3 linked regions of the Oreochromis niloticus genome follow. The protein of the gene in region 3 purifies or fractionates together with the protein of the main gene of each other region. This does not show direct contact. Links are inferred from orthologs where the notes say so. Each region holds a gene or a part of one and is shown on either strand. Other genes may lie near its edges.

The links.
Region 1: the proteins of ift88 (region 3) and ift46 purify together in Homo sapiens (affinity purification with mass spectrometry; 3 studies listed by BioGRID and IntAct, with this or other methods). This does not show direct contact. The link is inferred for Oreochromis niloticus from reciprocal best matches to the Homo sapiens genes IFT88 and IFT46.
Region 2: the proteins of ift88 (region 3) and hspb11 purify together in Homo sapiens (affinity purification with mass spectrometry; 3 studies listed by BioGRID and IntAct, with this or other methods). This does not show direct contact. The link is inferred for Oreochromis niloticus from reciprocal best matches to the Homo sapiens genes IFT88 and IFT25.

The regions. Positions count from the first base shown.
Region 1 is NC_031967.2:75,493,332-75,501,248, reverse strand, and holds ift46 (intraflagellar transport protein 46 homolog), read right to left. Parts: upstream 3,113-7,917; 5' UTR 2,992-3,112; exon of another isoform or gene 2,905-2,991; intron 2,787-2,904; 5' UTR 2,769-2,786; coding exon 2,640-2,768; intron 2,334-2,639; coding exon 2,038-2,333; intron 1,836-2,037; coding exon 1,742-1,835; intron 1,664-1,741; coding exon 1,532-1,663; intron 1,452-1,531; coding exon 1,098-1,451; 3' UTR 227-1,097; downstream 1-226. Other genes in the region: gastrula zinc finger protein XlCGF49.1-like, read right to left, coding at 7,233-7,917. UniProt on the Homo sapiens protein: Forms part of a complex involved in intraflagellar transport (IFT), the bi-directional movement of particles required for the assembly, maintenance and functioning of primary cilia. May play a role in chondrocyte maturation and skeletogenesis.
Region 2 is NC_031977.2:14,352,058-14,359,098, forward strand, and holds the start of hspb11 (intraflagellar transport protein 25 homolog), read right to left. Parts: upstream 3,025-7,041; 5' UTR 2,901-3,024; coding exon 2,809-2,900; intron 723-2,808; coding exon 616-722; intron 1-615. Other genes in the region: smn1 (survival motor neuron protein 1), read left to right, coding at 3,132-3,179, 3,902-3,973, 4,054-4,173, 5,845-6,036, 6,589-6,765. UniProt on the Homo sapiens protein: Component of the IFT complex B required for sonic hedgehog/SHH signaling.
Region 3 is NC_031987.2:27,525,314-27,532,790, reverse strand, and holds the start of ift88 (intraflagellar transport protein 88 homolog), read right to left. Parts: upstream 3,155-7,477; 5' UTR 2,947-3,154; coding exon 2,866-2,946; intron 2,647-2,865; coding exon 2,584-2,646; intron 2,400-2,583; coding exon 2,340-2,399; intron 2,073-2,339; coding exon 2,019-2,072; intron 1,898-2,018; coding exon 1,834-1,897; intron 1,579-1,833; coding exon 1,509-1,578; intron 745-1,508; coding exon 654-744; intron 135-653; coding exon 30-134; intron 1-29. Other genes in the region: cryl1 (lambda-crystallin homolog), read left to right, coding at 3,473-3,513, 4,268-4,375, 5,871-5,997. UniProt on the Homo sapiens protein: Positively regulates primary cilium biogenesis. Also involved in autophagy since it is required for trafficking of ATG16L and the expansion of the autophagic compartment.

The sequences.
Region 1 (7,917 bases), on a different chromosome or scaffold from region 3:
ACATACCTGACAAAGAAAGGTAAAAGAAAGACCTCCGAGTAAATAACTTGCTCGCTCCAGCTCCTACAACCAAATACAAACAGTGGGGGGAGAGGGTTAGCTCAACCCATCACAACTTCCAAGCTAGCCATAATTATATATTCGTGCTAGCATTAATGGCGCCTAAAACACATTTATGGCACACACGTACTACACATTTATAGCGTCTAACAAAAAACAGGCATAATGATGACAATAATTGAACTAAAATCACTATCAGAAACATCAGGGTGCCTAAATATGAATTATATGTGTGTTGTACACGGTCTGGAAAGAAATGACAGCCACCTCTCCCACGGGGGAATTGTAGAAAACGGGAGAGACCAAAGGGGTACACTGTATTTATAGGGTTGCACCAACGAAGAAGAACAATGAGAAGGGGCTCTAACCGATAATGAATATAACTACAGGCTTGAAGGTCCTCACAGTCAGGTATAAAGAACACAGTTTGTGTAATTATAACAATATGTAATCTATGACTGGGTTACACTCACAGAGTTTACTTTATTAGTTACATATGTAAATATTTAAGAAAAATTGTGTATGTTTCTGTTCTGTGTCCTGTTTGTTTGTATATGTGTCTTTTTGGCTGCTGTTACAACCAAATTTCCCCTTGTGGGACAATTAAAGGATTATTCTATTCTATTCTATTCTATTCTACATATAATATATATGGGCATCTTTGAGTAACATAGACGGTTTTTGCAGGCTCAGGACTTTACAGATGTTCAGACAGTGACCTTGTTCTGAGCAGCTGGTTTATTACAGTGTTTATCAAGGACCTTCATCTGGTTCCTGAAGTATTCAGGCTGCTGCAGGTGGCACAGGTTCACAGTGAAAGTAAGCTTAGGTTAGATGAAGCTCGAAAGCTGTGTTTTTACAAAGAGCTTGAACATGGCTTTTATTTCAGTGGACAAACAGAAAACAAATTGAGGAAATAAACAAAAGCAGAGCAACAGGTTCTCAGCACAAAAGAGTCGAACATCTGGCACATCTGGGGTTAGTTTTCAGTTCCTGAACAGACTTTTGTGACCCTCTGGATGTCGTACTTCCAGCCACTAAGCTCTGCGTGTGAAGTGCTGCGAGTCTCTGAACTCCAGGTAGAGGCTGAAGAGCAGGTGCAGGGACTGGACGTGGCTGCCATAAACGGGGATGTCGAGCAGGCCACACACGATGTCCGCATACTGCGGCAGGTCACAGTTCAGGCGGGCGGACGGCAGCTGCAGGCGGTCCAGCAGCTCCTCCAGCTCGGTTGGCCACTCCTGCATCAAGCTGTCGATGTCAGGCATCGGTCGGCTGTACTGGACGCTCGCTGGCGGCTTGGAGCGGTGCAGCGCGCTGATGCTCTCCACCCAGCTGTCCACTGCCCGCAGGTTGCTCTGAGGGTTGGCAATGCTCGTCACCTTCTTCACCTGCAGGAGAGGAAACAATGAGGAGTGACTCTGACTTTAATGCTGAGTGTGTGTGTGTACAGGTGTGTGTGTGTGTGTACCTCGGTGGCGCCGTGCTGCTTGGTCTCCTCCGACAGAAACAGCGACAGCACCGTCGGGTCCGACTGCTTCACGCTGGGCTCATCCAGAACCAGCAGCCCCAGGTTGTCCGGTTTGTCATCGGGCCTCGGCACCTGTGGGATTACAACATGAGGTCACTCTGAGGTCAGAGGTTGCGCTTTCTGTGCTATCAGGTGTGATTGTGTTCGAACCTTGAGGAAGGCGTCAATGTCTCCCACCGCGGGGATGAAGTCCGGGATAAATGGCTTCAGGTTGTGCTCCAGCTCAACAGACTCGGGGGTGTATCTGAGACAAAACATGGAAGCACTCCAGATGTGTGCGTGACAACTACGTGATTTACTGCAGGGCTTAACAATATAAAGTGCTTTGTGGTGACTGTTGTTGTGATTCGGTGCTTTATCAATAAACTTTGATAAGGTTTTTTTTAGCAGAAACAAGCACCAGATGGTGTTAAAAAACATGAGTTGGCACGTGTGTCTCTGCTCACCGTGTGATGTACTGGAACAGCTCTTTGATGTCGGTGCTGACAGGCAGGCTGGCGTAGTCGGCGGGATCATACAGGCCCTCCGGCGCCTTGTGGAGCTTGCTGTCCTCCTCCGACTCGTCATCTTCGGAGTCGTCGTCGTCGTCGTCATCATCTTCTTCGTCATCATCCTCTTCTTCCTCTTCTGGCCGCCCCCCTGCCGGCTCCTTCCCCCTCCCGTGGTCCTCGTCAAACTCGTCGCTGCTGCTGTGGGCCGACATCAGGCTGTGAACCCTCCTGCTGCTCCTCCTGAACTCCACCTGAAAGACGAAGGAACAAAACCAGGACCTGAGACCAACCTGGAGCATGGCAGGAGTGACTCAGCTTACAGTTCAACTCTGATGGAAGGAAACTTTATTTACTGTTTTAATAAAAACTAGGGTTTAAAACATGATGCTCACAACTTAACATCACCGGATTCACTCTTCTGTCATTTCTACACAGCTTCTTATATGAGACGAGTTTGTGACTGGAAACACTTTGAGCTTTAAATAAAGAAGAAACACGAGCAGGCGTCACGATCACCGGTTAAACCGGAGCTCTCCGCAAGGACAGGAGGAGATTACCTGGGGCTGGCTGCGCGGAGTCGGGCTGTACACGCTCGGTACCTCCTCGGCGTCCGCCACATCCAGGCTCTCGTCGTACGGCTGGTTCTTCAGCAGGCGGCCTCCTCTGTCCCGGTCAGCCCGCTCCATCGGAGTCCGGCGGGTCAGCTGCGGGCGGACACAGTAAAACCTCCATCAGAAACAACGGTTTACAGTAGCATTAGCCGCCTAGCAGCAGACAGCTAACAAGAAGCCGACACCGGCGGTTTTAAGCCGGTTAACCCACCTGAGACAGCACACACTCGGCATACAGAGACAAACGACCTGCCGGCAGAGCTAAATTCAAATCCGATAAATGTTTTAAATGTCTTACTTGACGTCTGAGTTCAAGCCAAACTCGCTTTTCGGCGTCAAAATGGCCTTTGTGGAATGTTACGTATCCTGGCAACGGGACGGGAAGGGCATCATGGGTAGTGTAGTTAGAATCAAATGAGAGCAGAAGCTCCAGCTGCAAGGCATATTATATTATATTATATTATATTATATTATATTATATTATATTATATTATATAGAATAAAAAATAAGTGCTTTAAAGTAACTGGAAGAAAATGAAACAGTGGTGCATTTATTATTGGATGGATGGCTGAGGTTCCTCTAAATCTGGAGACTGAATGACTGAAATAAAAACAAATAAATAAAAATGTTAACAAAACCATTTTAAATCCAAAAAAATCAAATCTTTTTAAAAAGAAAAACTATTGAGGCTCATTGTCATCAATATATTTCTGATGAACACACAGGGAAAGGTTTCCTGAAGTGTGAAGTGACGATATTTATTCATCTGTTCTCAATAACAAAGGGTTTACACAAACAAGGCCGTCCACAGCTGTTTGTGGGGTGCCGACTCCTCTTAATAAAGGTACTTGAGTTATTTTGTTATTGCGGTGCTGTGGATGTTTTCCACCTACCTGAAACAATTCAGGTTTCCTGGCAGCTTTTCACAGTCTCTCAGGAGAGTTTTTAAAGATGAACGAAAACAGCAAATAATCATAAAATAATATTTCAGGGCTTTGGTTTTAGTTGTGCATTATTCTTTTTTCATGCTATCTTTTGTCTTTTATCCTTGTCTCATCTGGTGCTGTTTAAATCCTATATTAAATGAAATTGATGTTTCTCATAAATCAGCACTGGCATTGATGATTATAAAATCCTGAGGCAAAAACGATTCTTTCATTAAACTTTATTAAAGCGTTTGGGTCATTGCAGATTTCCTTTCGAGGTCGTTACATTTTGATGATCTTGATTTTATGTTGGTTGGAAGTCACAGCTGTGCAACCTGTATGTGTCACCACCACTCAACATCATCCTCATCGTTTAGTGCACCTTTATTCTTCAGTTATGCTGAACAGGTTTTTACTCCAGAAAACAAGAGGCACTCGCGCCCTGAGGACACGTTCCCAGATAGTTACCACCTCATAAGCTGTTATTTGGTTCAGAAGTCAATTAAGAAAACCTTTATTTAGAGAGCACATCTTAATCCGGGTGCAAATACAAATTGTGAAACCCTGATAGGTTTGTAGCTTGAACCTATTCGCTGGAACGTCGAGGACAATGTAATTACACAGCAAGCAAGACTCGAGTAGGCAAGTTCTTTATGTTTCACGTGCACGGGAGAGAACTGGACAGGTGCCGTTCCTTCGCTTGACCCCAGTTGCTCTCGTCCGCTCTCCCGTAACACTGCTCTTTTATTGTGGTTACATGAATATGCATAGGTTCATTAACATATGACCTCTTATATAGGTATACATGTGAACAAAGAATACCCTGTGTGTGTGTGTGTGTGTGTGTGTGTGTGTGTGTGTGTGACTCCCCAAAGCTGGTGCCAGGAGTCTAGCGGTCCATCTAAACAAAAGGCTCTTAAACTCAAACAGAGTCTAAGAGCCACAGATATACGTGTGTTTGCTATACCATATATCAGCAAGAGAAAATACGACCTCTCCTAGGAGGCGTGTGATCTATGCCACAACACTCTGAAGAGGAGTGAACGCACTCCCCTCTTCATGCTACACAGAGTTGTTACAGACCTCCTGGGATGAGACATTCTTTCAATCTACAAATGATTATATACTTCTAAGCATATATGAGTAAATATTTCTAGGCATAAATGACAATAAACAATACAAAAACCTAACACCCCACATGTAAAGCCTCACAGTAAAGCCATGAATTAAAAAAAAATCAGAACAGCAAACATGAAGAAAAGAACACAAGAAAAAAAAACAGTAACAAAAAGACCTAAAACTAAATCCTTCCATCCATCCATTCGCTTCCGCTTATCCTTTTCAGGGTCGCAGGGGGTGCTGGAGCCTATTCCAGCTGTCATAGGGGAAGAGGCGGTGTACACCCTGGACAGGTCGCCAGTCTGTTGCAGGGCCAACGCACATAGACAGACAACCATTCACACTCACATTCACTCCAGCATTCACACCTGTGGGCAATTTAGATTTTTCAGTTAACCTATCCCCACAAAGTGCATGTCTTTGGATGGTGGGAGGAAGCCGGAGTACCAGGGGAGAACCCACACAAACACGGGGAGAACATGCAAACTCCACACAAAAAGACCCCGGCCTGATGGTGGAATTGAACTCAGGACCTTCTAACCCCCATGTTGCCAAAAATCCCTAAACAACAAAATAAAATTGAAAATATAATGCAGCAGAAAACGATTAGAACGATAAACTTAAAATAAGAAAAGGAGTAGGAATTAAATCAGTTAAGATCAACATCAGTTCACTAAACAGGCCTCACAAGAGTGTTTCAGTCATTTCTTTATCAAGCTGATAAAATTGTGGTTGAAAAACATTAGCAAATATTTGGCAGAAAAAAAACAGGGCTGGGTATCTGATTTCTATAATTGATTTGATTCGATTCAATTTTGACTCAGACAGAAAGATTATAATTCGGATCATTTATCTGTACATATCCATATTTTTATGTCTGTGTATAAAATAAAATCTGACACTAGTGAGATTTCATCACAGGTGTAAACATCACAGCAGATGCCTTTGTGTCAAAGTTAAGCTGGACATACAATTTATGGCCCATTTTGAGACGATTTTTCACTCCTGCGACTGTTTTGGAGATCGACTCTTTATAAATCTGACTTTTCCTTTTGTTTTACTTAGTGCTGTCAGCATCAACTCGCTAACGGAGATTTGGGGAGTTTCACCTTAATCGTGTGTCATGCATCATGTAGTATACATGGGGTAATGAGAAGCGATTAACACCTCACGACCAGCTCCCAGTCAGCAATTGTACGGTCACATGGTTGCCACTCGTGAGGGCACACTATAGATGCGATGCGAAGAGCCAATTTAACGCAACATCTCACACTCCGCATGTGCAAATACAGAAAACGAAGTGAAAAAGATGAATCAGTGCAGTGTGTGATCTGGACGCAAGCAGCGGACTTGTAGAACTTTGGCAAGCCCATCCAAGCCTTTTTGATGTGGGCTTAGAAAATTATCATTGCATCCGCGAAAGAAGTAGGATGGACATTGCTGCTCAATTGCAGCTGTGTTGTAAGTCAGTGTTTTTTATTAGCATTTTAGTTGATGTTGTTGGTGGTGTGTGTCTGTGTGAGTGAAAGACAGAGAGGGAGAGAGAGGAAGAGCAAGAGACAGATTTTGTGTTATATCTTAGCTATATAATATAAGCTTTGGTAACACTTCATGTTACCAAGCTAAAATTTGGATGCACAGTGTGAGCACTCAGGTCGCAGAGCTGAGCATCGGGCTGTATAGTGTGAGACCCTGCATCGTGACCTACGAACTTCTAACCCCTGCGATTCAGTCACTTTGAGCAGGAGCTGAATAACGTGACTGAAAAAAAATTGCACAGTGTATGCCCAGCTTAACTGGGGATAAAACACAGAAAAACATAAAAGTGATTTTCCTGGCCTGGCTTTTTATAGCAGACAACCTTAAAAATATTCTGCAATACAATAAAAACGAAAGAAAATCAACATATGACCTGATGTTGCTGAAGTGAAGCAGAGTAATGTTACAGAGGTTTTATTAGAGACACAGCAATTTGTAATTTGGCATAATCTTTTTTTTTTTTTTTAAGTGTACATTTCTTCAGTACAGAAAAGCAGAAATTAGGCTTTCTTGTCGGAATTTTTGAAGAAAAAAAGGTTCTGATCTTCTTTTCTGCTGGTTCAGTGAATTTTGGTCGGAGAATAATGAAACCTGCAGAGAATCTGCGAGATGTCGGCTTTCAGCTCCAACGGCGAGTTCGTGTAGCTTGGTGAGATTCTGATGCATCAGGTCTGCATTTTGTGCTGAATCTGTTTACCTGCTCTCATTTGCCGTTTTAGCTGTTTGGCGTTTGTTGAAATAGTTTTATGAGTTTTAATCTGAGATTCTGGCATTTTTGGATTTAATGAATTGATATTTAAAAAAAAGGATTTTAATCATTTCTCAAAGAAACAACTTCATATCCTTCATACTATCTGCTTGAGCTGGACTGAGGTCAGTTTTGACATTAGACAGTGAGTCTGAAGGTCGTGGCCACAAGCCAGTTCTTATTGCCCCTGCTACAGGGGCAAAAGCTTAAACAAAAACACAGGGTGGGTGTTGATTCTCAGCCTCAGATTTCATTTGCATTGCTCTCTTGACCTGTTTGTCTCTCCACCTGTGACCAAGGTTGTGATTGTACAGAAGACTTCGATCAGGGAACACGTCCCCGCAGCGTCTGCACGGGTACCCTGTGTGAGAGAGTTGATGCTCCTTCAGGCTGCGTTGCCAAACAAATGTTTTCCCGCACGTTTCGCACCAGAACGGTCTCTCTCCAGTGTGCACACGCATGTGGTGGGTTAGAGTGGACCGATTAGAAAAGGTTTTGTTGCACTTGTCGCACCAGTATGGCTTCTCTCCAGTGTGGCTACGGCGGTGGCTCTTTAAGGCCCCCAGCTGTGCAAAGGTTTTGTCACACAGGTCACAGCTATATGGTTTCTCTCCAGTGTGCACCCGTTGATGGCCCCTGAGGGCGCTGGACTCCGTAAACCGTTTGCCACATTCTTTACAAACATAGGGTTTCTCTCCAGTGTGAACACGGAGATGCTTTTTCAGTGTACTCGAAACTGCGAAGGCTGCGCCACACTCTTCACAGCTGTAGGGTTTCTCTCCTGTGTGGATGCGCTGGTGGATTTGTAGAGCGCCTAAAGTGTTGAAAGCTGCTCCACACTCGTCACAGCTGTGCGGTCTCTCTCCGGTGTGAATTCTATGGTGAAGCTTT
Region 2 (7,041 bases), on a different chromosome or scaffold from region 3:
ACAAAAGAACACAGAAAACACATCAGATATTTAAACTGAGAAAAAAACACAAGGTCATTTTGAATTTGATGGCAGAAATACATCTCAAAAAAAGTTGGGACGGAGCCAACAAAAGCTTGGAACAGCAAGTGATACTAAAAAGAGACAGAGGAACATTTTGTAGCCAGTCAGGTTAACGGGCAACAGGTCAATAACATGACTGGGTATAAAAAGAATATCTCTGTTTAAAAAGATTCAGGACATCTGAAGAAATCTCTGTGCGCAAGGGACAAATAAATACAGGCTGAAAACAGATGGATACCCTTGATCTTTAGGCCCTCAGGCAGCACTGAAAAACAGGCATGATTATGTCATAGAAATCACTGCATGATTTTAGGAACACTTCCGGTCTGTTACTACAATTCAATCTACCATCCATTCAACTCAGGTTAAAGCTCCATCACGCAAAGTAAAGGCCATACATGAACACGATCCAGAAATGTTGGCTCATTTAAAATTGACTGAGGTAAGGTGGAAAAGTATTTGGAAATTCAGTTCATCAAATTTTACAGATGGACCCAACGTTTATAGAACTGGACATGCATGTTTGCCCTAAGGTGCACACAGCCTCCATACCATTGTAGCTGTCCACTGTCACAGTGCCAATGTTTGTAGGTTCAGGGAAGTGAATGATGAACTCTTGAGGAAACATCCCAGTGGACATCCAAAACGTTTTAGTGTTTCTGAGTGATAAGAAAGACAGAAAATCATGACATTTTACCATTGATGAGATCTGTTTAAATCACATTTTGATATCAACTTTTGTTGTGCAGATATACAATATTGCGCAAAAAATCTTCTTCCTATTTTGCTGCCATGTAGCCAGACTTTCCGGAAATATCAAAAATGTTAGCTAAAGCAATAGTCCTACTGCTTTTCCAGTCATTTGCACAATCATGTGACTCATTCAAGCAAAAAATACAGCACGTAATTCAAGACACCTAAATCTCTCTCGCGCCATCCGACAAGCAAAGCGTGCACATGCACAAAAGATCCAGAGCCACTTCCACAACGTGGAACGCGTGCTGAGATACTCCGCTGATCAGCTGGCCGATGACTACAGAGACATCTTCAACTCATCACTGAGCCTGATGATCATCCCAGCGTGCTTCAAGTCCACCATCATCATCCCGGTAGAGCAACCTCCCCTGCTCACTGGACCCGCCACAGTTTGCATACTGGCCAAACAGGTCGACCAAGGATGCTATTTCCACTGCACTTCACCTCTCCCTCTCCCACCTGGGCAAGAAAGACAACTATGTCAGAATGCTGTTCATGCTGCTGAGCACCTCTCTCTGCAACTGGATACTAGATTTCCTGTCAGAGAGGCCTCAGTCCGTCTGAATCGGCGACAACATCTCCAGCACCATCAGGCTGAGCACAGGAGCTCCTCAGGGCTGTGTTCTCAGCCCTCTGTTGTTCACCCTCCTGACACACGACTGGACTGCCCTACACAGCTCTAACCACATCATCAAGTTCACCGACTACACACCCGTGGTTGGACTCATCAGCAGCAACGACGAGTCAGTGCACAAAGATGAGGTTCAGCAGCTGGCGTTCTGGTGCAGTGAAAACAACCTGTCACTGAATGTGGACAAAACCAAGGAGATGATCATCGACTTCAGGAAGACTCGCTCCACTCACACACCACTCAGCATCAACGGTTCCACAGTAGAGACTGTTAACAGCACCAGGTTCCTGGGAGTTCACATCTCAGACAACCTCACCTGGACCACCAACACCACCTCCATCACCAAAAAGGCCCAGCAGCGCCTCCAATTCCTGAGACGCCTGAAGCGGGCTAACCTCCCTGGTCCCACCCTCACCATGTTCTACAGGGGCGCCATAGAGAGTGTTCTGAACACCTGCATCCCCGTGTGGTTTGGAAACTGCAAAGTCGGTGACCTCAGCCAGCTACATCTGATCGTCAAAGCAGCTGCAAAGATCATTGGAACATCTCTCCCTCTGCTACAGGACATCTTTCACAAACGCTGCATCAGTAAGGCCTCCTGCATCGTGCGTGACCCCTCACACCCCTCACACGGACTCTTTTCCCTCCTCTCATCCGGCAGACGCTATCGCAGCATCCTCCAGACTGCGAGACAGCTTTTTCCCACAAACCATCAAACTCCTGAACTCACTACCAGCTCCCCCACTCCACCCCATCACACACACCCACACAAACCACTAACTGACTCTACCGGACTCCACATACCACTGCCTTTGTAAATACAGATGCTGCTCTATGGACAGTCCTACTCTCAGGAATCCTCCTCATGTTAGTCCCTTTATTTCACAGTGTAAACTGTAAAGCTGCTACGTTGGTCATTTTAAACCACTTAAATATCAATTGTAAAATGTAAATTTTAGACTGTTATTAACCCTTTTACCTCAAAGTGTATATTTACTCCCCTTACCTCAGTCTCAAAGTGTATATATATTTATTCTTTCTATTCTTACTCTTCCTACATTTCTTGTTGTTCTTTTGCACTTTATGGAACTGGAGCCTCGTCGTCTCGTCTCTCTATGTACTGAACTGTATTTAGCAGAGATGACAATAAAGTTTTGACTTTAAAGGGACGAACCAGTGTTATGTCAACACAACAGACAGCTTAGCAAAGAAGCAATTTTAAGTTGCATCTTCAGGCACCTTTTAGTAGCAACTTGTAGCAAAATCACATAATTTGTTTCGTTTTGTTTAAATGAATATATGAAAATTGACAAAGATAAAACTGCTGAGATAACCACGGCTTAAGAACCAGCACTCACCCGTCGATAATGCTTTCTGGTGGGTGATTTTCATCGCTGGATGCAGCGAGGACAACTTTCGCACCTAAAGAAGTTAAAGAGGACTCAATCATCGCACAGAAAAGGTTATAGTCTCCGAGGCTTTCTGGTTTTTCTATAACAGGACACAACAAATGCTTGTTTACAGATTCTTAAGGGGGGAAAGTCGTCAATTGCCGTTGCCAAGCCAACCACTGCGTCGCAAGATATAGACGTCGCAATGTTGTACGTCACAATTTCCGACGCACGCTGCTAGTTAGATGTTTAGGAGTTAGCGGCTAGCACTGGATATAGCAATTGTTCACATGGCGAACGGATGCGAAGAAGTGCTTTTTACGCGCGGAACTGGACAGGCGAGTTATAATGCACTATTAAGCGGAGGAACATGACTTATATGACGCTTCTATGCTGTCTGTGCAGTTGTTTGAGGCGGTGAGCTATATAGCTAAAAGCTACAAACCAACGTTGAGTTAGGCTAACTTAAGATATGAGAAAAGGAATAAAAGAAGTCAAGCCGGAAATAAACAATATACCAGATGTTCTTCAATAAACAAAACGTGGCTTTATTGGAATATACCGTTGTGGATAAACGTTACAAAAAATGCTTTACAAAGTAGTTTTAGGTTGAGTTGCAACAGTTTACAGGAGACAAAGGTGTACTGTACAATAACCCTAAGATCCTTTGCATCCTGACTCTGTTTTTGCATGCACTGCTTGTAAGATGCTTCATTATAATTGTGGATTTAAGACTGATTTAAAAATAATAATAATAATTCAGCAACATTTAATGTGCTCGTCTTTTTGTGTGTTGTTTATCCTTTTTCCACGAAAGAAATTGATTAATTATTCATCATAAATTAAGTGTTTTAATGTCTTTCTGCTCTTCAGCACACCATCTTTTACTATTTAGTGAATTATTTTGACACAACAAATAAATATTGGCTGCAAATGTCATCTGGTTTGCAGGTATTATTTATTATTTTTAAATCACTTAATGTTTAGCCATTATTTATGTATACCCATCAAAAATACATGTTCGTTTTGTAAAGACTCCAAATTTGTTGTTCTCTTCCAGAGTGATGATTCAGACATCTGGGATGACACCGCACTGATAAAGGCTTATGACAAGGCAGTTGCATCTTTCAAGGTAACTTGGGATTATTGCAGTATGTGTGAATGTGAAATGTTGTTTGTGACTTTAAAGTCTCTTCCTGATTTGCGTATTAGACTGCCCTTAAGGGTGAAGATGAGCCACAAGTCTCAAAGAAAAACCAACCAGGAAAGAAACGCAAGAACAACAAGAAGAACCAGAGTAGGAAAAGAAACAATGCACCACCAGAAAAAGAGGTGAGGAACTGGAACTAAAGCTACAGATACATTTGAAGGGGAAAAGGTGTTAAATATTTACACATGATGTTTACAAAGTTGTCAGAGGTATCAAACTGGAGAGTACATTTTAACATAAGTCAGTTTAGATTCTGTGTTTCAAATCAGTGGTCGAAATGTGTCTTTCATTTACAGTTTCTACAGTTATGGTCAGAAGTTTAACTACACTTATCACAGGCATGAATGTCATCATAATTTGAGGATTTTAATAATTTCTTTTAACTGTTCTTTTTACTTTGTGGAGTGATTGCACAGCATACATCCTAAATGGGTTTTAAAATCAAGAATTTGGTGGACAACAAATTTTTGGGAGGTGGATTTTCTCTAATCCACACAGGGTGAAAAGTATAAATACGGGCTCAAATATATACATACATTCACTTAAATATTTTAGTAAGTGGTGCTGAAGGTTCAACAATGACTTAGAACTTGGCAAGGCCTGTTAACTTGTCATTAGTGATCATGATTGACTAAATCTAATAGTTTCTCTGCCATCATAAATAGGATTTGCATGGCAGCAGTTATTGGATTGACCAGTGCTTGTTACAATAGGAAACGCCAGGCTATTCTATGAAGGTCTAAGAAGGAGAATCGTACATTTATACGGGTTGGGATGGTCTTGGAGCTGTCCCTAAACAACTTCAGATTTTAAGATAATCAGTTTAAACAATTGTAAGCAAGTAACAGTTACTTGCACACGTGACCTCTTATCCAAGGTCTCAAAGAAGACCCAATCTGTTACATCCTCAGATTAAAGGAAATTGGTTAGGATGTTCAGGAACAACCCAGGAACCGCTGAGGCTCAAGTCTGCCATGAACTGGAAACTGCTGCAGCATCAGTGTCACTGTACACAGTGAAGCCAGTTTTGCATCACTGTGAAGTGGAAGGGTGCCAACCAAGAAAGAAGCACCTGCACCAAAAGATTTTCAAGCCTGCCTGAAATTTGCAGCAGCCCACATGGACAAGCCAAATGTCTTCTGTAGAAAAGTTTTACGATCAGACAAGACAAAGGTGTAGCTATTTGTCCACAATGACAAGAAGTATGTTTGGAGCAGTAAATATTAGGCTTTGAAACATAATTTCACCTCAAATCAGTCATTGGAAAACTGTTCCAACAGGACATTGTTCCCAAACACACATCAAAACTGGATTTAGAATGGATAAAGCAGGCTAACATTAAGCTTTTGGAATTACCTTCCCAAAGCCCGACCTCACCCCCATTAAAATTTGTGGACTTTGCTTAAAACCTGGGTTTGTGCTGGAAGCCAACAAATTTAAATGAACTCTATTAGTTCTGGCGAGAAGAATGATCAAATATTTAACCAGAAATACACCAGAAGCTTGTTGATGGTTACCAAAAGCCATCTGGTGGAGGCGCGACTTGCTCAGGGACATTTAACGCGTTATTCGGAGTATATGTGTATATGCCTTATGTATACTTTTGATCCCATAGAAATTTAATTTAAACTTGTGCACCTCTTCTGCACCATGTTACCATGACATTCATGCCCATGATGAGTATTTTTTCTGACCACAACTGTACCCTGTTGGTAATTCTGAGACATTCAAAAACAGCGTTGTTTACACATGTTGACGCTTTCACTTTAATTACAGTTTATGTTGTGTCACAGTGGCAGGTTGGGGACTCATGCAGTGCTTACTGGTCCGAGGATGGCCAGCTCTATGCAGCCACGATTGCCTCCATAGACAAGAAGAGAGGCACTTGTATAGTTGTTTATACAGGCTATGGCAACGAGGAGGAGCAGAATCTTGAAGACCTGCTGTCAGAGTTTTCGGAGGGTGATGAGGAATCAAATACCAAGGTAAACTAGTGCAAATAAATGCATTCACATAACAGCAGCACAATACAAATAACAATTCAGTTATTAGAAAATGGTAGTATTGTTCCCTGACACAATTTGCACATAGTTTTTACCTTCATTATTCACATATGCACATCATGAATTTTAAAATAACAAAACTAACATTGTGACCAAATCAGGCTTAAATAATTGGCAAGCAATCCATTGTCATTTGGGTTTTTTAATAGGCCACAACTTAATGAATATAACAGTCGAAATTTCGGCAGTTGGCGTCAAAGACCAAAAAATATGAAATTATTATTAATTACTCCACCCAATATTTATCAAATGGTGAGTCATGGAAATCACTGCCGATTAACAGATTGCTTTCTCAGTCTATTAAAACTTAGGACCAAGTATGGATGGATGGGTTAGCTCTTTCTGCTTTTGTCTGGATCATTTCTTACTGCTTCCCAAACAAATTCAGATAGGTTTATGGATTTCTCTGTATTTGTTCCCAATGATATGAAAATGGGGAGAAAGATCAAAGCAGTATGTCTTTGCTATCCATAGGTGCATGAAGTAGAATCTTCAACAGAGGAGAGTGACAGGTCAGCTACTCCAAACCAGCACAAACAGTCACCTAATAAGGGCCACAAGTCCAAGACCCACAAAGAATCACCTCCTATGTGGGCTCCTGGTTTTCCTGGATTTCCTCCAGTACCACCTCCCATGCGTGCTTTCAGACAGGTAAGAAGAAAGGCTCTTTAGGGAGCTGATTCATTATTAGTCTAACAACAAAATTACTTTCATGCATACTACTCCTCTTATTTTTGTTTTTAAATTGTGATTAAATCAGTTTCAGGTGTTAATTAAATTCCCGATAGGAGGTTGAATGTTTGTTGTAGTCAGAAAGATGAAATGTGAGCAAAGTGTTTGTAATCTGAACAATAAAGATAGAATATGAACATTTATTGCAGGACTGGATTGTAATAGGCCCAACTTCTTTTTGTGGACCCAACTGTA
Region 3 (7,477 bases):
TAGAACAAGCATACAGCAGCCTGACTTACAGAGTAGGTGAGGTCTAAATTTATATGGTCTGCACTGCCAGACTGTTCCCTCTGTCTGACCAGGGCTCGCTCCTTCCGCCCTGCCTCTTTGGCTTTTTCAAGGGCCTGTAGACACAGACACACCCACACAAACACACACAGCAAGTAAGCCACTTCTGGGTAATAATCAGAAATAATTATGAATACACACTCTGCTGCAATGATGTAACAAGTTTTTCCTGCCCATTAGACATTCTGGTGCCGACCAAAAAGGCCTTGGCCCTTCACAAGACGAAAATCACCTGTAATAACAATATTTTTAAAAAGAGTTTTTTTTAAAGTTTTCAGAAATCACAGCAAACAGCACACTGCTGTTATGTGTGCCTATACAATATGTAGACCAATTTTCCCCATGTATGAAAAACCACTGGAAATGGGAAGGTTGATAAACTTCAAGTACTTTGTCCTAACAGCCGTTTTAGGTATCACTCTGGTAGAAATGTAAGCAGTTTTTATACACATCACTTTGAGAGAGCTGACACAGTTAAAAAGGAATTATGGCGAACTGCCCCACGTGGAGAGCCTTCTCTTTAAATCCAGACAGTCAACATTAGTAAAAAATTTGTTAAAGAGGGACAGGCTGACCACTTGTAAGGCTCCCATGCTCTGTGCCATGCAGCTCTCCTCTATCAGGTCATTCACTTTCTTCTCCAAGATTTTGATCTTCTCCTCAGGCCTGCAAGAACATGATGCAGAAAAAAAGAGAGTGAAACGTTTGTGAGCTTATAATAGCTGATAATAAGAGGCCCAAGGTGTGCCAAGAAAATATCCCCCACATCGTTACACCACCACTCCCAGCCTGAACCACTGGTGCGAAGAAGGATGGCGAAATGTTTTCGTGTTCGTTATGCCAAATTCTGACCGTACAATAAGAATTCCACAAGCAATGTTTTTTTCTATTTTTCTATTCTATTAGTTTCGGTGATCCTCTGAACTGTAGCCTCAGTTTCCTGTATTACCTAACAGGAGTGTCGCATGGCGTGGTCTTCTGCTGATGTAGCCCGTCTGCTTTAAAGTTTGATGTGTTGTGCATTCAGAGATGCACTTCTGCATACTTTGATTGTAAAGAGTGGTTGTCTGAGTAACTGTTGCCTTCCTATCAGCTCAAAGCAGCATCAACACAATTTCAACCAGACAACTGCAGCTCCCAACAGATCTGCAGTTTTTAAAACACTCAAACCAGGCTGTTTCACACAAACAGTCATGCCCCGTTCAAAGTAATATAAATCACATTCCTTTTCCGGATGCCAGGTTTCAACCTCAGCAGGTCATCTTGACCATGTTTATGTGCCTAAATTTACTGAGTTGCTGACATAAGACAGGCAGATTAGATATTTGCATCAGAGAGCAGTTGAACAGGCATACCTAATGAAGTTGCAGAGTGAGTGTACTGCATAGCATTTTCACACTGAAACAAAGCAGTCTAAAGTGATAACTTACGTATCCTCATTCTTTGCTTCGAGTGCAGGTGCAGGACCTCTGGACTGGCCCAGAGGGTCAAAGGCTGAGCCTGAAAATATAAATCATACCATTTCATCACTATATCACTGCAAGGGGAAAGACACAAAGCTTGCATATTTAAATCTGTCCTTATAAGAATGGAAAGAGGTTTATATTAACAAAAAAATGCTAATTTTTTATTTTTTAGATTTTTATGTTAGAGACACTCAACTGTACCTATTCCTGAAGTATACAATAATAACTTTTTAATCATTATCGACACGCAAAAGAAAATAGATGAAACAGACAACTTCTTTAAACTCACCCCGACTCAGGGCGGAGGTGTAACCTGCTGCTCTGACGGCAGTCATTGGTCGGGCTGACCCATCCTGGTACATTTGCAAATAACAAAAAATACATATATAGTAAACTCTAATTATAAAAAAATAATCTAACATAAACTATGCAAGACCTTATGTGCACATTCGATTATTTAATAATAATTCTCACCTGTACAGCTCCAGTCATGGGTCGTCCCATTGAAGAGGCCATATGAAGCCGAGCCTTTGTGAAACAATAAGTATCAATATTGTAATCAATAACAATAATTTTGGTCTTTTTAACATTTAGATATGAACAAAAACATTCCACATAAATGCTTCACGGTAATGAAACAATCACCATCATTGGCTGCACATCTTGTCACCTATCAGTGATTTAATCTGAGCAACTTTCATCACAGAACTGTACTTTGAAGGAGGTATCTGTATTTGTTGTGATCATTCAAAAATGTTTCACTTTTAAAGGATCATTCTATTTCTTTGTACTTACGCCAAAAGAAGTAGCTAAAGATCGAGGTCCAATGGGAGTGCCAGGAAACTTGGCAGTCATCTAGAAAATTAAAGACATGATATATTAGTAGTTAAACGATTTATACACCTCCAGTAAGCCTCTCCCTCTCTCTCCCACTTACTTACTTACTCACTCACTCACACAAACGCGCACAAACAAACAAACAAACAAACACACACACACACACACACACACACACACACACACAGTATTTGGCACTTACCGGGGGTCTTCTTCCATGACTTGTCCTCACTGCTTGCTGGAAGCCCACATCATTCTCCAGCTCCTTAAAATTGGACAACAATTAGTCTTCATTTTTTAAATAGTGGGCGGACAGAAGAGCAGACATTTTTCACACAAACAATTTTGAAATAAAACTGAAGTAATTTGTCTTTCGTCATGCCACTATCTCAATCTCATATAACCAACATTCATTTTTCAAAGTTGCTTTCTATACGCTTAGAAACAATGTACTAATGTAGTGTTAGGTTAGTGGTTAACTTACCTCCGAGTCAAATGTCGGATTATAATCATTGTAACCCGAGTAAAGGTCGTCCTCCTCTACAGCCAGATGCACATGTTCCATTTCTGTTTCTCCGGAAAGGTAGTATATGAAAATATTCCTCAATGTGTGGCAAACAAACAGTTTTCTATGCGAGATAACTGGTAATATTTTGTTGTCCTTTTAGGATTTCATCCCACAATTCAACGCGGCACGGGCGGGACAGTTTCCTTTTCAAACCTCTGATTGGTTTTTCACGCGTCCATCATCGTCTGGCCTCAACCTAATTGGTTGAAGTTGCGCTCATTCGTTGCTAGGATACACTACAACGCTACAACCTATTTCTTCTTCATATTCTCATATTTATTTTTAAATACTTACATACATTGTATTTATTATTTATAAAAAGTTACAATTAATAGTTTATGGGGTTCTTTACTGCTCATTTCAAGGAAAACATGCTTTTTGCGCTCGTTTGCCTCCTTTGGTCCTTCTAGGTCACCGTACAGCACGGTCAGCGTGACTACGGTGACTATCAAGGGGGGCGGCGCAACAGAAATTAATAGAAATGCTGTAAGTTAAGTTTTAGCTGGTCTCGTAACATCTAAAAATGAGCGCTGCTGACATGAAGATTATCACTGTGATTGGCAGGTGAGCGAGATAACAATGTATTTTGCGTTGTAAAATGATGCAACCATGCTAGCCCTCACCTGTATTCATGAAGTTGAAACGAAAGTTGCTTTGTTGAATGAAAAACTGGTTGAAAGCTAGTTTGCAGTATCAGTGCATGTAATTTTATTTTGGTTACTGCATTGTGTGCATCATCCTGTTGCTAACGACATAAACAGGACTGTTCTGAATGAACGCTTGTCTTGTGTTTTCAGTCAGAATGAATTTGTGAAGAATCCTGTTTATTACAGACACGTAACGATAGCTACAGCGTGAAGGTTTATAGCTGTGTGATTTTAGAGGTTTTAAATTGAACCTGTCTTCTGAACCCTGTTCATTAAACATGGCAGTCCCTCTGAAGTGACCTCTCTTAAACTTGCAAAGCAAACACTGAACCTCACAGTTCTTCACTTATGTTGCCATACGTTTTAGGGGGTAATCTTTGTGTGTTAACATTGCAATAATATTCAGATGGGTGGCAAAGGGATTGATAAAACATTCATAGTGAATTTACACTTCACTTCTGGTTACATGTCAAAACATGAGAGGAAGACAGGAAAATGAAGCTGGTGTCAGCAAGCAGACAGGCACACTGTCAGCACTTTACTGCTGTGTGATTTTAATGGACTTTACTGAAAAACAACATTCAGCCCTTGCTTTGATTTTGTTTTTTAAGTCTGCTTATTGGGGTTTATGTTTTATGTCTCTTACCGTGCGATTTTCTTCCCTGTTTTAGTGGGCTGATAGGCCGCTCCTGGGCTATGCTGTTTGTCAGTGGAGGCTACAATGTGAAGATCTATGACAACCAACCAGGACAGTCTGCCAGGGCCATCGCAGAGATCAAGTGAGTCCTACTGCTCAACTTAAAGACCCATCTGGGTTACACAGACAAACTTCCTCAGTCTTAACTGCATTATTATACCTCTATAGTCAACAGAAATTTGTTTTAACCCAGATGTAATTCTTAGTAAAAACAAAAAAGCACATATATATCATCATAAATATATAAATATAGATTACAGAAGCTAAACTAGTGTCTGGTGCCTGCAAAACCTAAAGGAAACATTGACACTAGGGGCTTCTCTGCCCTGATGAGTTAGAGACACCCTATCTAAAATGTAACCTGTTCTTCCTTTCAGTGTTTACAGAGAAGACATATATGAATACTGCATGATCAGCAGTTGGCTCCTACTGTGAGCACACATGAATAAACACATGTTCACAGCCTGGCTATTAGTGGTTAAACATTACTGTGGAATGACGCAGAGTTTTTAATGAAAGTGCTGTAGAAAGTCACAGTGCCTTTAAGCTATAAAAACCTTAATACCTTAATCTCTATACCAGTATTTCATGAATGTGAGTCTCCCTCTGAGTACATGCCACTGCCTATCACTCAGCCCGTTAGAGACGTATTTGTTTATATGAACAGTAGAGGGTGTCATTGAATTAAATTTCAGGGGCCCTTTGTGAATGATTTCCTGCTGAACAAGCTAGACTGCTATCTGTTGTGTGCCCTGTTTTCATAAACCGTCACTTAGTCTAAATTACTTTAATTTTTTTCAAACCAAGATATCTTCCTGACTCATGTGATACAGTGTTATGTAACTGCCACATGCTGTATCACCACTCCATATACAGGGCAAATTATAAAGAGATGTTGAAGAAGCAGGTTGATAGGCTGGAGTAAGAGCAAAAAGGTGGTGGTATGTACTCCACACCCTAAAAGTGCCATCAGTGTTACTGTTAAGACAGCATAACAGGATTTGCAGCAGACTACACGGTCTCCTTTGAAACCTGCACCTCATTTTAGCTCAGACTCTGATTAATAGGTTGTCCGACCGATCTATAAACCAGAATCTTTATTGTTTTATTATTCTTTTCTGCATGAAAGACCAGAGTAAAAAACTTATGCCTCATTAGAGAAATTTGCACAATAGTGCAATACAATACATACTTTCATACAGTAAGACGGTGAAGTTGGTGACATAATCTACCCCCACTGAAACTGTGTTGAGTGTCTAAATCTTCTGTGCTGCTGAGATGGAAATGTGCACAGAGCAGACACTTTAGAATCTCTAGCTTCTTTGTAGCAGCATCCATATTTGAAGCGTTGTCTGCTTTGTGTTATATCAGAACCACTTCTTTTGGCTGATAATAACACACCTAACACATCTGTTCATTTCTTCCAAAGTCTTCAGTCTACTACATTCTACTACTACTTATATATGAAGCCTGTGGTAATGATTCTTTTCTAATTGAAAATGTCATGATAGAGGGCAGTTTGTTTGTGCATTGTGTGTGTGTGTGTGTGTGTGTTAACTGCAGTTTCTGTCCCTCAGGAAACAGCTGGTGGAGCTGGAGGAAGCCCACATGCTGCGAGGGGAGCTGTCTGCTGCGCAGCAACTTGCCCTTCTGAGCAGTTATGATGACCTGTCTCAGGCGCTGGATGGAGCCTTCTTTGTGCAGGTAACACAGATCGCTGACAACACAAACACATGCTGTTATATCTCTTTGGCCTACATAGAAAAACCAGTGGAAACAACATTGCTCTCTGTTGATTTGTTTATTTTTCTGTTAGCCACTTGCTCCATCACACATGTGACCGGACATTTGTTTTGTGGATGTTGGCAGACTTTGATGAAACACGGGGCTTCTCTCCACTGGTGTGGGTCTTTTCAAAAGTATGTGGTGTGTGACTCAGTGGAAACAATGTAGTTTTTGTTCATTTATTGGTTCACATAGTTTAAACAAAGCAGCATTAAAGGAATGGTTACTACACTCTCAGGTCAATACGTTCTGGCTTTGTTATTACACATTTACCCCCCAAGGAAGTGCAGCATAATTTTATTTGACATATTCCGTCACATTCTCACGTCACATTTTGAACTTAGACTAATATCCCTGTTGTACATTGGGTTGTGATATCATATAGTAATATGGAGATGTTTTGCATAATAACACTTCAGTTCCTTCAGTTGCTTAACACGTAAATTACAAACTTTTTTCCATCCATCCATCCATCTTCTTCCGCTTATCCGGGGCCGGGTCGCAGGGGCAGCAGCCCAAACAGAGAAGCCCAGACCTCCCTCTCCCCAGCCACCTCCTCCAGCTTGTCCGGGGGAACACCCAGGCGTTCCCAGACCAGCCAAGAGATATAATCTCTCCAGTGTGTCCTGGGTCTGCCCCGGGGCCTCCTCATGGTGGGACATGCCCGGAACACCTCACCCAGGAGGCGCACAGGAGGCATCCTTGTCAGATGCCCGAACCACTGGCATCTGGCTCCTTTCGATGTGGAGGAGCAGCGGCTCTACTCTGAGCCCCTCCCGGATGGCTGAACTTCTCACCCTATCTCTAAGGGAGAGTCCAGCCACCCTTTGAAGGAAGCCCATTTCCGCTGCTTTTATCCGCGATCTCGTTCTTTCGGTCACTACCCACAGCTCGTGACCATAGGTGAGGGTAGGGACGTAGATCGACCGGTAAATTGAGAGGATCACTTTTACACTCAGCTCTCTCTTCACCACAACAGACCGATACAGCGTCCGCATCACTGCAGCCGCAGCACCAATCCGTCTGTCAATCTCCCGCTCCCTTCTCCCGTCACTCGTGAACAAGACCCCGAGATATTTAAACTCCTCCACTTGGGGCAGGAACTTGTCCCGGACCTGGAGTGGGCACTCCACCCTTTTCTGGCTGACGACCATGGCCTCAGATTTGGAGGTGCTGATTCTCATTCCCACCGCTTCACACTCGGCTGTGAACCGTTCCAAGGCGAGCTGGAGGCCAGCCAGAGAAACAAAAAAGTGCAAACTTTTTTGTTTCTCTTAATTTACTAGTATAGCTTCATAGTATATCAGTGGTAAGTACATTACTGGACCAAAAAACTCATACATTTACTTGTCCTTATGGGGAAATGTGATTGCATTGTGATTTCAGAGTCACCTGAGAT